Linked DNA regions of Arabidopsis thaliana. The protein of the gene in region 2 interacts with the protein of the main gene of each other region in a pairwise test. Each region holds a gene or a part of one and is shown on either strand. Other genes may lie near its edges.

Region 1 (7,493 bases), on a different chromosome or scaffold from region 2:
TTCACAAGATCTTCCTTTTCAAATTATTTAATTTAATCTTTGCATATTTAGACTTGTAGCAACTATCAACAAGTCGGACACAACAAACGTTCATGCAAGCGTAAAGCAGTGCCAAAACCACCCAAGAAACCTCAAAGACGACCAAGGAAAAAACAGAAAACAATGGATGAAGAGAACCCTATCACTCAGCCAATACAATCTTCTCTTCAAAGTTAATGCTTGACAAGTCTTTACTTTAGAATATCTTGTCCCTCTGAAACGATTGTTTTTTTTGTGACAAATATTGTTGTGTTGCAACAGCTTCGATAGTTATGTTGGTTGGATTTATTTAAGTATGACTCTTTGGATTATTTTAAGTTGTTGTGTCTTTCTTTCAGCTTCTAAAATCCAAACTAATTAAGCAATTCAAAATCATTTAGAACGTTTTTTTGTAATAAATTCAAAATAGTTTTAAAGAACATCATGTGGTTTTTGCGCTAAATACAAATGTCTCGTTGTTTTTTTTTTTAGAAATTAATATCCCATTAATAATTAATTACTGTGGAGTTAAGTTTATTAACAGGTTTTAGTTCAGGGTTTGTTTTACTAAAAACATAGTTTAGGGTTTAAAATGGATCTGGCCAAAGTTAAGGGTTTTTTTCATTAAATTCCCTAATTTATATTCAAAACTTTCAAAACAAGTTAAAGGAAATAAAACCAATTAAGGTTAACCAAAAAAAACAACAGATTTCACGCATCTCACGCGCATAGTGACATTGTACATACTTGTCATGCATCGTCTCTTCCACATGGATACAAAAGATAGGCATACAACAACACCATCATCATGAAAATATGTACATGCACATACATACATACATACAACGTCTTAGGACTAGAGAGCAAAGAGGGTAGGGAAAATTTGATGCTATGTTTGGGTAGGCCACTGTCACAGAGCTTAAAGAGAAGTGCTTTCTTTCCCTAAGTTAGCAAATTACCCCATTTTGTCAAAATTCCGTTTCTTCTGACAACAACACTTACGTTTTACGAATATAAATAGTTGTAGCATGATTTATTTTTGTTACCAATAGATAAACATATTTATTCTTATCGATTGCCATTAGGACTAGGGATTCTGATAATAATTGATATGTCTTAAAATTTGCAGAGACAACAACTTTGCGTGTTGGTTTTCTCATCTGTTTGTGTTTAGCCTTAGTCTGAAATCTGAATGCATTTAAGTTTTTCAAAACTAATCACTTTCAATCCTTTTTAATTGTCAACATCTACTTGTCCTTTTAATCTAATCCAAGAATATTGAATACAGAAACATGTTTACACAAAGAAAATTAGGTGGTAATGATATGAATTAGAGAAGTGTAATCAAGATTCCATCTCATATTAAACCTATTTAAAAGAGTTGTAAGAAAAAATAATAAAACAAGTAATTATTTACTTATAACTATGCATCAAATATTACGAAACTTTTAAAATGAATTGTTAATCTAATTCAATCAATATTATAATTATCTATTTAACTAATAATATTTATATGGTGGCAACCAAAGAATATATATGGGTCCAACTGGTAATTTAGATGAATTGTAAAATTTTTCGGAATAGTTGCAAACTATAAAAAAGAGTTGTACGAGAAAGTTGTATAATAAAATTGAGAATAAAACTTTTTATAACGTTTTTGATAAAGATTTTATAAATGATAACTGTCAAAGTTGTACAAACTCTACCGCTTTGATAATGAGTTATCAAAGACATAAACTTTTATCCTAGTTAATCATTTTAACTTTTAGAATTTAAGCTTTGAATTAAAATTCAAGCTTAGCTTTGTATAAGAAAAAGTTTAAATATTTTTACTTTGCCTTAACAGTAAAAAGCTTTTAACCAAAAACATTGAATTCAACCTACTCTCCCAAAAATTTCACCTTTAATTTTTTTTGAAAACAATATTTACCAGTTTAGTGCATCTTGTTGGGTTGTTCCTTGTCCTTTCTCTCTCAGAAAGATCTTTACTTTTACTTTTTCAGTATTTTCCTCTCTCTTCTCTCTCTTCTCTCTCTTCTCTCTACTTAGCTGCCTCGCTTTTGCTCCTTTTACCTCTTTCCATCTTTCAATCTCCTTTGAGAGAGAGAGCAAATGAAAAAAACCCAAAAAACTCTTTTCTCCAACCATTACCATCTCATGAACACTCTCACAGGAGGCTCTCTCTTCTCAGAGAGCCTACCCATCTAATATTTCTTCATCTGAGTCTCTTTTACTTCTCTCAAAGTATCGATCTTTATTCTTCTTTTTGTAAACCCTCTCTCTCTCTCTGATTTCTACTGACCTGTTTGGAAGATATGATGGCTCATCACTCCATGGACGATAGAGACTCTCCTGATAAAGGATTTGATTCCGGCAAGTACGTTAGATACACGCCGGAACAAGTTGAAGCTCTTGAGAGAGTTTATGCTGAGTGTCCTAAACCTAGCTCTCTGAGAAGACAACAGCTTATTCGTGAATGTCCCATTCTCTGTAACATCGAGCCTCGACAGATCAAAGTTTGGTTCCAGAATCGCAGGTTATTATTTCTTTATTAATTGTCTTTAATGGAATGTTTTTTGTGTTCTTTGATTGTTTCTGTAATTATAAAATTGAATTTCTTTTGTTTGTATTTGGAGACAAAAATGTTCTTGTCTGACAATGTTTTTGGTAATCTTCTTGTTTTTGGTCTAATTGGTGATTGTTAAGCTTTTGAAACTTTCAGATCTATGTCTATAAATTTGTTTTTCTCTTTTTGCTTATTAGGCTTTTGTTGACACAGTTGAAAGTTAAAATCACAAGGAAAAGTGACAGCTAATCAAACTGTCTTTGATGAGCTTTAAAACGCCTCTCTCTTTTTTTCCTTCTGCAGAGAATATGTTGGAAATTACATTATCTTTTGTTCTTTATGTCATTCTGGTATCATTCTAAAGCAAAAAAGTGTGTGTTTCTTCTGTTCATTTTTCTATTATTTCAACACATTTATCATACTGCTATAGGTTTGTCTTTAACTTTTCTGGTTTCTTTTGGTTGTTTTGTTGACTTTTTAGATGTCGAGAGAAGCAGAGGAAAGAGTCAGCTCGTCTTCAGACAGTGAACAGGAAGCTGAGTGCTATGAACAAGCTTTTGATGGAAGAGAATGATCGTTTGCAGAAGCAAGTCTCCAACTTGGTTTATGAGAATGGATTCATGAAACATCGAATCCACACTGTAAGTCCTTGAATCCCTTTTGCTAAATGCATTGTTGAGTTGTTATCTTTGATGCTTGTATATGTATTTGTTCTTTAAGAGTTCTCTGTTGTTAGAGAGTGACTGGTGAAATCTCTGTGTTGTGTCTTAGGCTTCTGGGACGACCACAGACAACAGCTGTGAGTCTGTGGTCGTGAGTGGTCAGCAACGTCAGCAGCAAAACCCAACACATCAGCATCCTCAGCGTGATGTTAACAACCCAGCTAAGTAAGGAAGGCTCTTTTTTTGTTTGTGAATTTCTCATTGTGACATTATGAGAAGAGACTAAATGGAGTGTTTTTTTGGTAGTCTTCTCTCGATTGCGGAGGAGACCTTGGCGGAGTTCCTTTGCAAGGCTACAGGAACTGCTGTCGACTGGGTCCAGATGATTGGGATGAAGGTAGATAAGTTGAAGTATTTTAACGTTTTCATATGTGGAAATGAAGTGGTTTTTAGAAAATGTTTTAATATGTATTTTCATGGTTATGTATGTAGCCTGGTCCGGATTCTATTGGTATCGTAGCTGTTTCACGCAACTGCAGTGGAATAGCAGCACGTGCCTGTGGCCTCGTGAGTTTAGAACCCATGAAGGTAATGGTGTTTTCTTTTTATTTTAATCTTGTGTTGTAAGAAGCGGAAATTCTACGAAGGCAATCTAAACTTCAAATACTGTGTAGGTCGCTGAAATCCTCAAAGATCGTCCATCTTGGTTCCGTGACTGTCGATGTGTCGAGACTCTGAATGTTATACCCACTGGAAATGGTGGTACTATCGAGCTTGTCAACACTCAGGTCTGTTTCATAAATCCATGAGTGTTGTTTTTGTTCCTTTAAAATGTAATGATCATTATTCATGGTTGGTTATCAGATTTATGCTCCTACAACATTAGCAGCAGCTCGTGACTTTTGGACGCTGAGATATAGTACAAGTCTAGAAGATGGAAGCTATGTGGTGGGTATTAGGACCTGGTTTTGTTCATCTATGATTCTATTTATTAGATTTGCCTTATATTTGCTTTTTTGCCTTCAGGTCTGTGAGAGATCACTCACTTCTGCAACTGGTGGCCCCAATGGTCCACTTTCTTCAAGCTTCGTGAGAGCCAAAATGCTGTCAAGCGGGTTTCTTATCCGTCCTTGTGATGGTGGTGGTTCCATTATTCACATCGTTGATCATGTGGACTTGGATGTAAGCATATTGGATTTGTAATAGCACATTAGGTTTCGTAAAAGCCTTCTATTTATGTTGATTGATACGTTTTTTTGGTTTGGTAGGTCTCAAGTGTTCCTGAAGTCCTCAGGCCTCTTTATGAGTCTTCCAAAATCCTTGCTCAAAAAATGACTGTCGCTGTAAGTTCCATATAAACCTTATCCACCCGTGACCTGATTAGGCTCTCTTTATGAGTTTTACTTCCACATTTCAGGCTCTGAGACATGTGCGCCAAATTGCTCAAGAGACTAGTGGAGAAGTCCAGTATAGTGGTGGACGCCAGCCTGCAGTTTTAAGGACTTTCAGCCAGAGACTCTGCCGGTAATACATTTCCTTGATAAGCTTAGTTTTATTTTCTAAAGCATTGTTCTAATTGCTTTTCTTGAAATTCAGGGGTTTCAATGATGCTGTAAATGGTTTTGTCGATGATGGATGGTCTCCAATGAGTAGTGATGGAGGAGAGGATATTACGATCATGATTAACTCTTCCTCTGCTAAATTTGCTGGCTCCCAATACGGTAGCTCATTTCTTCCAAGTTTTGGAAGTGGTGTCCTCTGTGCCAAAGCTTCTATGCTGTTGCAGGTGCCTATATCATGTTTTGACACTTGTGAATAGACAAAAGAACCGGTTTCTTCAATTTCTGACATCATTCTCTTTTTTATCTGCTCTTGAAGAATGTTCCACCCCTTGTATTGATTCGGTTCCTGAGAGAACACCGAGCTGAATGGGCAGACTATGGTGTCGATGCCTATTCTGCTGCATCTCTCAGAGCAACTCCATATGCTGTTCCATGCGTCAGAACCGGTGGGTTCCCGAGTAACCAAGTCATTCTTCCTCTCGCACAGACACTCGAACATGAAGAGGTACAAAGAATCTCAAGAACATTTTCCTTGTTGTCTATTCTTTTGCCATGCCTATAATCCTATTTTGCTTACTTGTTTCTCAGTTTCTCGAAGTGGTTAGACTTGGAGGTCATGCTTACTCACCTGAAGACATGGGCTTATCCCGGGATATGTATTTACTGCAGGTTTGCTTTATACTAAAGACACTCAGGGATTCTTAAAGATGAGTTATTGAAATTGAATTCTTGGTTTCTTTTTTGCTTTTGTCCAGCTTTGTAGCGGCGTTGATGAAAATGTGGTTGGAGGTTGTGCTCAGCTTGTCTTTGCCCCAATCGATGAATCATTTGCTGATGATGCACCTTTGCTTCCTTCTGGTTTCCGTGTCATACCACTCGACCAAAAAACAAATCCGGTAAAAAGAAAACTGTTTATGATAAGAAATTTGATATCTTGAAATTGACACAGTCCTTTTTCTTTTATTCCTGTATGTAACGTTACAGAATGATCATCAATCTGCAAGTCGAACACGGGATCTAGCATCGTCCCTAGATGGTTCCACCAAAACCGATTCGGAAACAAACTCTAGATTGGTCTTAACAATAGCCTTCCAGTTCACGTTTGATAACCATTCCAGAGACAATGTTGCTACAATGGCGAGACAGTATGTGAGGAACGTTGTTGGTTCGATTCAGAGAGTGGCTCTAGCCATTACGCCTCGTCCTGGCTCAATGCAACTTCCCACTTCCCCTGAAGCTCTCACTCTTGTCCGTTGGATCACCCGTAGTTACAGGTACTCTTCTTAGAACCTTAATCTAAAGACTTGTAACAATATAGAATGTGCTTATCTCATTTAATAACTCAATAAAATGTTTTTCTCCGATGTTTTAGTATTCATACAGGTGCAGATCTGTTTGGAGCTGATTCTCAGTCCTGTGGAGGAGACACATTGCTTAAGCAACTCTGGGACCATAGTGATGCCATATTGTGCTGCTCCCTGAAAACTAATGTAAGAATTCTGTTTTTTTAAGAGGTGCTCAATCTAGTTTATGGTTCGGTTTGGGAATTGTCTGATTATTTTTTGGTTCTCAGGCCTCACCGGTATTCACATTTGCAAACCAAGCTGGTTTAGACATGCTTGAAACTACACTTGTGGCACTTCAGGATATAATGCTCGACAAAACACTTGATGACTCTGGTCGTAGAGCTCTTTGCTCCGAGTTCGCCAAGATCATGCAGCAGGTTAAACATTTTCTAGCTAGTCTTTTAAGTCTTTCCCTGGAAAATACTAAGTTTGGATTGAATCTTCTTCAGGGATATGCGAATCTTCCGGCAGGAATATGTGTGTCGAGCATGGGCAGACCGGTTTCGTATGAGCAAGCGACGGTGTGGAAAGTTGTTGATGACAACGAATCAAACCACTGCTTGGCTTTTACCCTCGTTAGTTGGTCGTTTGTTTGATGAAGGAAAAGGTTGGTTATGTTAGATATTAAAAGTTAGGGGATGTTGTTTTTGGCTAAGGTTTGTTGAATTAGAGAGTCCATAACTCTATATGTAATATGGAAAAATTCTGATGATAATCTCTTTAATCAATTATGACATTATGTATGGCAAGATATTTATTTTTATTTATGTTTTGGACTTGTTTCGTTTTTCTTCATCTTCCTTTTACGAAATTTGATATATATATATATATATATATATATATATATATATATATATAGATAGATATAAGATGAATTATTATTAGTAATCTTATAAGTTTTTATCATGTGTTAATGTACAAATATAAACACAAAGATTGGCCTCAAAAGCATGTCGAATAAACTAAATTAATCATCATAGTTTTTGGCAAAAAACGTTTAATGGACTTGGTAGCTCATATGTAACATGAAAAATGTATGCGGAGTTTAGGTTGTATGCATAAATAATAATCATCCAAAAGATTAGATTTGAATGAATCTTTGACATTAAATGATCAATAATCATTACTAGTATTTATCTATTAAATTGAAATAGTATCTATCACAAGAAAACTAGTCATGATGATGCTGTTCTTTGACTTCTAGGCTGGAGGAACCTATAAACTTTTCTTTTGGGTAGTCTAGTTAGTAATGGAAGTTGATAAATAGCTTTTCTTTTGGACAGAAACCTACAAAACTCTTATGGAAGTTTTATACCGACCAAAAATATGGAAGTTTTAT
Region 2 (4,195 bases):
TTTTTGCCTCTGCCAAAAATTGAAACACCGAGAGATATCTTGGTCGTACCTCTCATTTTCTCTTTCTCTGTCGGTTGAGATCTTTTGACATAAGGGAAGAAAAAAATATCGTATCTTCAGTGTTCTGCAAGAGATTCTAATGGTCTGACTTCGTCTATGTGGACCCAAATATCTCCATATACATACCAAATGCTATGTTATGTCACGTACATGTCTCGATATTCGTATTGGCTAACATTTACTTATTACATATGCAAACAACACACGCTTGCTCCATCAATCATAACACCTTTCATTGCTTCTTTTTACTTTATACTTCTAACTAATCTTCTACTGTAATTAATAATCATCTTTACAAATCCCTTTCTTAAGTTCCAAGCAAAAGAAAGAAAACCCCAATTAAACAATTACAACTTTAATAAATGACGCTCTTGAAAATTAGTTTATGCACCATTCGTTATTATGATTCGATGGCCTTAAAATAGAACTCTGGATTTGGTGAAAAACAGATATGATGTAATCAAAATATATAACAATAAAGAATGATAGAACCTCTTATCTTTCCCCAAACTAATAATTGGACAATAATATTAGTAGATTTTCCATTATCCAGAATTCAGCTATAAATAGAAACTGAATAAAACAAAGGAAAGAAGAGCATGGGACCAACTCTTGAAAAGAACTTCCAAGTCCGTTCAACAATATAATAAAAACAAATCACCAAACCTATTATCTTTAGACTAATTAAACTCTAATGAGAACCAGCAGCAGGTCGTTGCCGTAGAGGCATGGCAGCCCACGGACTCATCGGACCCATCGGAGACGATGAATTCATCACAGGAGGAGCCACCGATGACGAAGATGACGTAACAGCGACTCGCTCGCAAGAAGGACACATTGTGAGAGTAGTGGGAGGTTTCATGTGCATGTATAAGTGTGGAGAAAGCTTTAAAGCCCTAAGCTCACTCACTTCCTTTTGCAATCTCCGATTCTCATCCGTTAGATTCTCGCAACATCTCTTAAGATATTCACAGTCTACTTCCGTTTGCTTCAGCTTCGTCCTATAAACACACACACAAACAGTCCAAAACATTAAAATCCGATATCCGGTTTAACTATCCGGGAAAGAGAAAACCCGAAGTACATTTGTTTCTTGTATTCGAAACTGGCGGTTATTGTTCTTGAACCGGAAAACTGAAAACACTTTAACCAAAATTTGACTCAAAAACAACATTGGCGGTTTTAATTCTTAAACCGGGAAAACTGAATAGCTTAAACCAAACCTCCTAATTTAAGACATGAGAGACCCATTAAAATCCTTTAGGATAATCTTATGGGTCATAAAATGGACCATTACACATATCACCATCATAGCAATAACTACTAATGTTTTATTTGTTGGACTATATAAAATTTACGAAAGTAACCCCTTAAAATAGAATAAAAATTTCTACCTTGCCCTTCGGTTTTGGAACCACACTTCAACTTGTCTCGTCCTCAGATTCAATTGCTTAGCCAAAGCCATCTTTTGCTTCTGCATCCAACAACAACAAAAAAAGTCAATGAAAAACATATAAAAAGTCAACCTATTGAAGAAAACTACGGAAATGCCACTGACCGGATTGAGTGTACTATGTTCTTTAAAAGTTTCTTCAAGAACCAAAGCTTGTTCTTTAGACAATCGGAGTTTCTTCCTCGAACTGTCATCTCCGTTCCCGCTACCGTCTTCATCGTCGCTACCACCGCCGAGCGAGCAAGAAGCTCTCTCAATCTCATTATCTTCTACTCTACCTCCTCCAACTGCACCTGCCGCAGCCATTAGCTCTCGCTCGCTCTTCTTCCCGCTCATCACGCTTGAGACGGTGCTGTTCGGAGACGAAACTCCGGCGCCTTCATCCTCCACGTCAACCACCACCGTCGATGGAGCTCTGTTCACGTCTATTCCCCGGAGAAACGATCTCATGTCCGAGTTTCTCTCTGCACGTTACGTTAATCACGCCAAATGATTAAAAATCACAAACATATCAAGAAAATTTTATCTATTATAGGATAAAGTGTAATAAAAAGATCGGATCTAAAACAAAGAAACCTATAATCTTAGACATGAATCTGGATTAGTAAAAGGAGGTAAATACCTGATGACTGAAACATGTTAATCCAAGTGTTCTGAATCTTTTGAGGATGGTTATAATTGCTCTGCTGCATATGCTGCATGTGTGATGAAGATGCATAAGAAGCCAGAGGCATTGGATTTAACCTCGAAGACGGGTCCTTTTGATTAAAACCTAAACTCAAGCTCAAACTTAGCCCCAATCCATCATCTCTTTCACTCATTTTTCTCAACCCCAGAAAGAAGAAAGAAGAATTCTGTCTGGGTGCTCAAGATTTTTAAGCGAGGAAATGAATAAATGACTCTTTCTCTCTCTCTTTCTTAAAGATGTTGTGCCACTGCCTCTACACTTGTGCAGCAGTACAGTTTCAAAAGATATGGCTTATATTTATTTATATATGCAAAAGAGTTTTTTCAGACAAAGAGATATGGGGTTGTGGGGAGGCTTAGGGTTTCAATGATGACTTGTGTCAGAGAGACCTCTGTTACCTCAATGATGATATATACTGCATAAAAACCTGCTTCCTTCTCTCTTTATTTTAACTTAACCATGGTTAAAATTAAAACCAGGAGTTATTACTTTCACCTCACATCCCTTTTCAACCATGGTTAATTGATTTATTATAAGAAAAAAAAAAGTCCAAGTCTCTTGTTCTTTCTCTATCATTTTCCGTTTGGTATATTGTAAGTTGTCACTATTCTTAATTACAAAATAACCTATGAGCGTTTTTCAAATATTATATTAGATTCTTATACATATGATAAACTCATTCACCCAAATCCATTCATGTGAGGTTTTACTAAATATAGATAAAAGCTGAGTTTCTACTTTAAAAGATACTAAAGATTAGTAGTTGACAATATAATTGAGTAGAGATTTTGTGTACCCGAGTTTCAAAGTAAAGAAAATGTAAAAGAAGCTCTTTTTCAAAAACACACAAACAAGCATAATTGGCTTTTTGTAATGTGGCTTTCATTACGAAAGCGGCTTTCTCGCTCGTTGACCGTTGACTGATTGAGAGGATTAAAAAAGCAGCGACCAGACGGTAAAATCCACGCGCTCGTGAGGGTGATCAAATAATGATATCATATCATAATAATTAATAAATCATCATCATCATCAGTATCATTATGAACATCATCATCATATCATGCCTTATTGTTATCATCATAACTTTACTTCTCCCTCTGACCATTGGGGTCCTACGTATCTCAAAAATAATGCAGCTTCGCTTTAATATTAGTACTCTTAAAGCATAATTTGTAGTACTGTATATCAAACCATATAATTGTACTTCCCATTTTAACATGGAATTATATCCTTAAAACAAATCTCACCCACTCTCCAAATTCACCATCACTTGTTAACTTGTTGGTTAGAAAAGGTTCTTTAAGTTAGCTTTATGGTGAATATGTTTCATCATTGGCATTCGATTATGACAACTATTTTTTTTTTTTTGAGAAAAGATCAGCTAAATTATGTTTTTCTTAGTAGTTTTAAACCATTCTATAACCTTTATTGGGTAAAATTATATAACCTAGTTACAAACCAAACTTTCTTAAAGAATGAAATGAATTATTATTCTTCAATGGGTTATTGTTAAAATGTGATTATGAGGATGTTGGAATAATAGGTAAGCGTGAAAGAATAGATACGCGCGAATGGGCGAGTGTGAGGTGGGGGGAGAATAAGGCGGTGGGCTCAAAATGGGTATGGAATCAGGAGGGGGCAGAGATACGGTGTCGTATAGATAGGTTACAGAGAACCTAAAAGCCCTAAACACTGCATGGATTTTGAGTTGTCTGCGAATCCAACATGCATTCCCATTCCATGCCTCCCTCCTTCATTTATTGTTCCTTTTTCCCAATGTGATACCAAAAGATAATTAACTTTCTCATTAATTTCATCTGTCAGTCAAACATAAATAAAAACGCACGACAAGTGGTGTTGGCTGATTTTTATGACTAATAAGAGAGTAATTAAATTACTATTTAATTAATGATGACTCCATATATGTTATTGATATTGCCATCATTACTTCTGCCTTCAGTCTCTTCAAAACTTTCAGCAGTTACACAGACAAG

Evidence for each region. Proteins that work in one complex are often made in the same cells at the same time.
Region 1: the proteins of HAT3 (region 2) and PHV interact in binary tests that used the Arabidopsis thaliana proteins (3 or more experiments, as listed by UniProt).

The regions. Positions count from the first base shown.
Region 1 is NC_003070.9:10,795,585-10,803,077, reverse strand, and holds PHV (Homeobox-leucine zipper family protein / lipid-binding START domain-containing protein), read left to right. Parts: upstream 1-1,984; 5' UTR 1,985-2,333; coding exon 2,334-2,554; intron 2,555-3,065; coding exon 3,066-3,225; intron 3,226-3,355; coding exon 3,356-3,471; intron 3,472-3,552; coding exon 3,553-3,643; intron 3,644-3,738; coding exon 3,739-3,834; intron 3,835-3,920; coding exon 3,921-4,034; intron 4,035-4,110; coding exon 4,111-4,194; intron 4,195-4,272; coding exon 4,273-4,428; intron 4,429-4,514; coding exon 4,515-4,589; intron 4,590-4,663; coding exon 4,664-4,770; intron 4,771-4,842; coding exon 4,843-5,032; intron 5,033-5,124; coding exon 5,125-5,313; intron 5,314-5,396; coding exon 5,397-5,477; intron 5,478-5,563; coding exon 5,564-5,704; intron 5,705-5,792; coding exon 5,793-6,082; intron 6,083-6,180; coding exon 6,181-6,298; intron 6,299-6,381; coding exon 6,382-6,531; intron 6,532-6,603; coding exon 6,604-6,750; 3' UTR 6,751-6,954; downstream 6,955-7,493. UniProt on the Arabidopsis thaliana protein: Probable transcription factor involved in the determination of adaxial-abaxial polarity in ovule primordium. Specifies adaxial leaf fates. Binds to the DNA sequence 5'-GTAAT[GC]ATTAC-3'.
Region 2 is NC_003074.8:22,320,037-22,324,231, forward strand, and holds HAT3 (homeobox-leucine zipper protein 3), read right to left. Parts: upstream 2,626-4,195; 5' UTR 2,335-2,625; coding exon 2,136-2,334; intron 1,978-2,135; coding exon 1,619-1,977; intron 1,535-1,618; coding exon 1,455-1,534; intron 1,062-1,454; coding exon 752-1,061; 3' UTR 544-751; downstream 1-543. UniProt on the Arabidopsis thaliana protein: Probable transcription factor.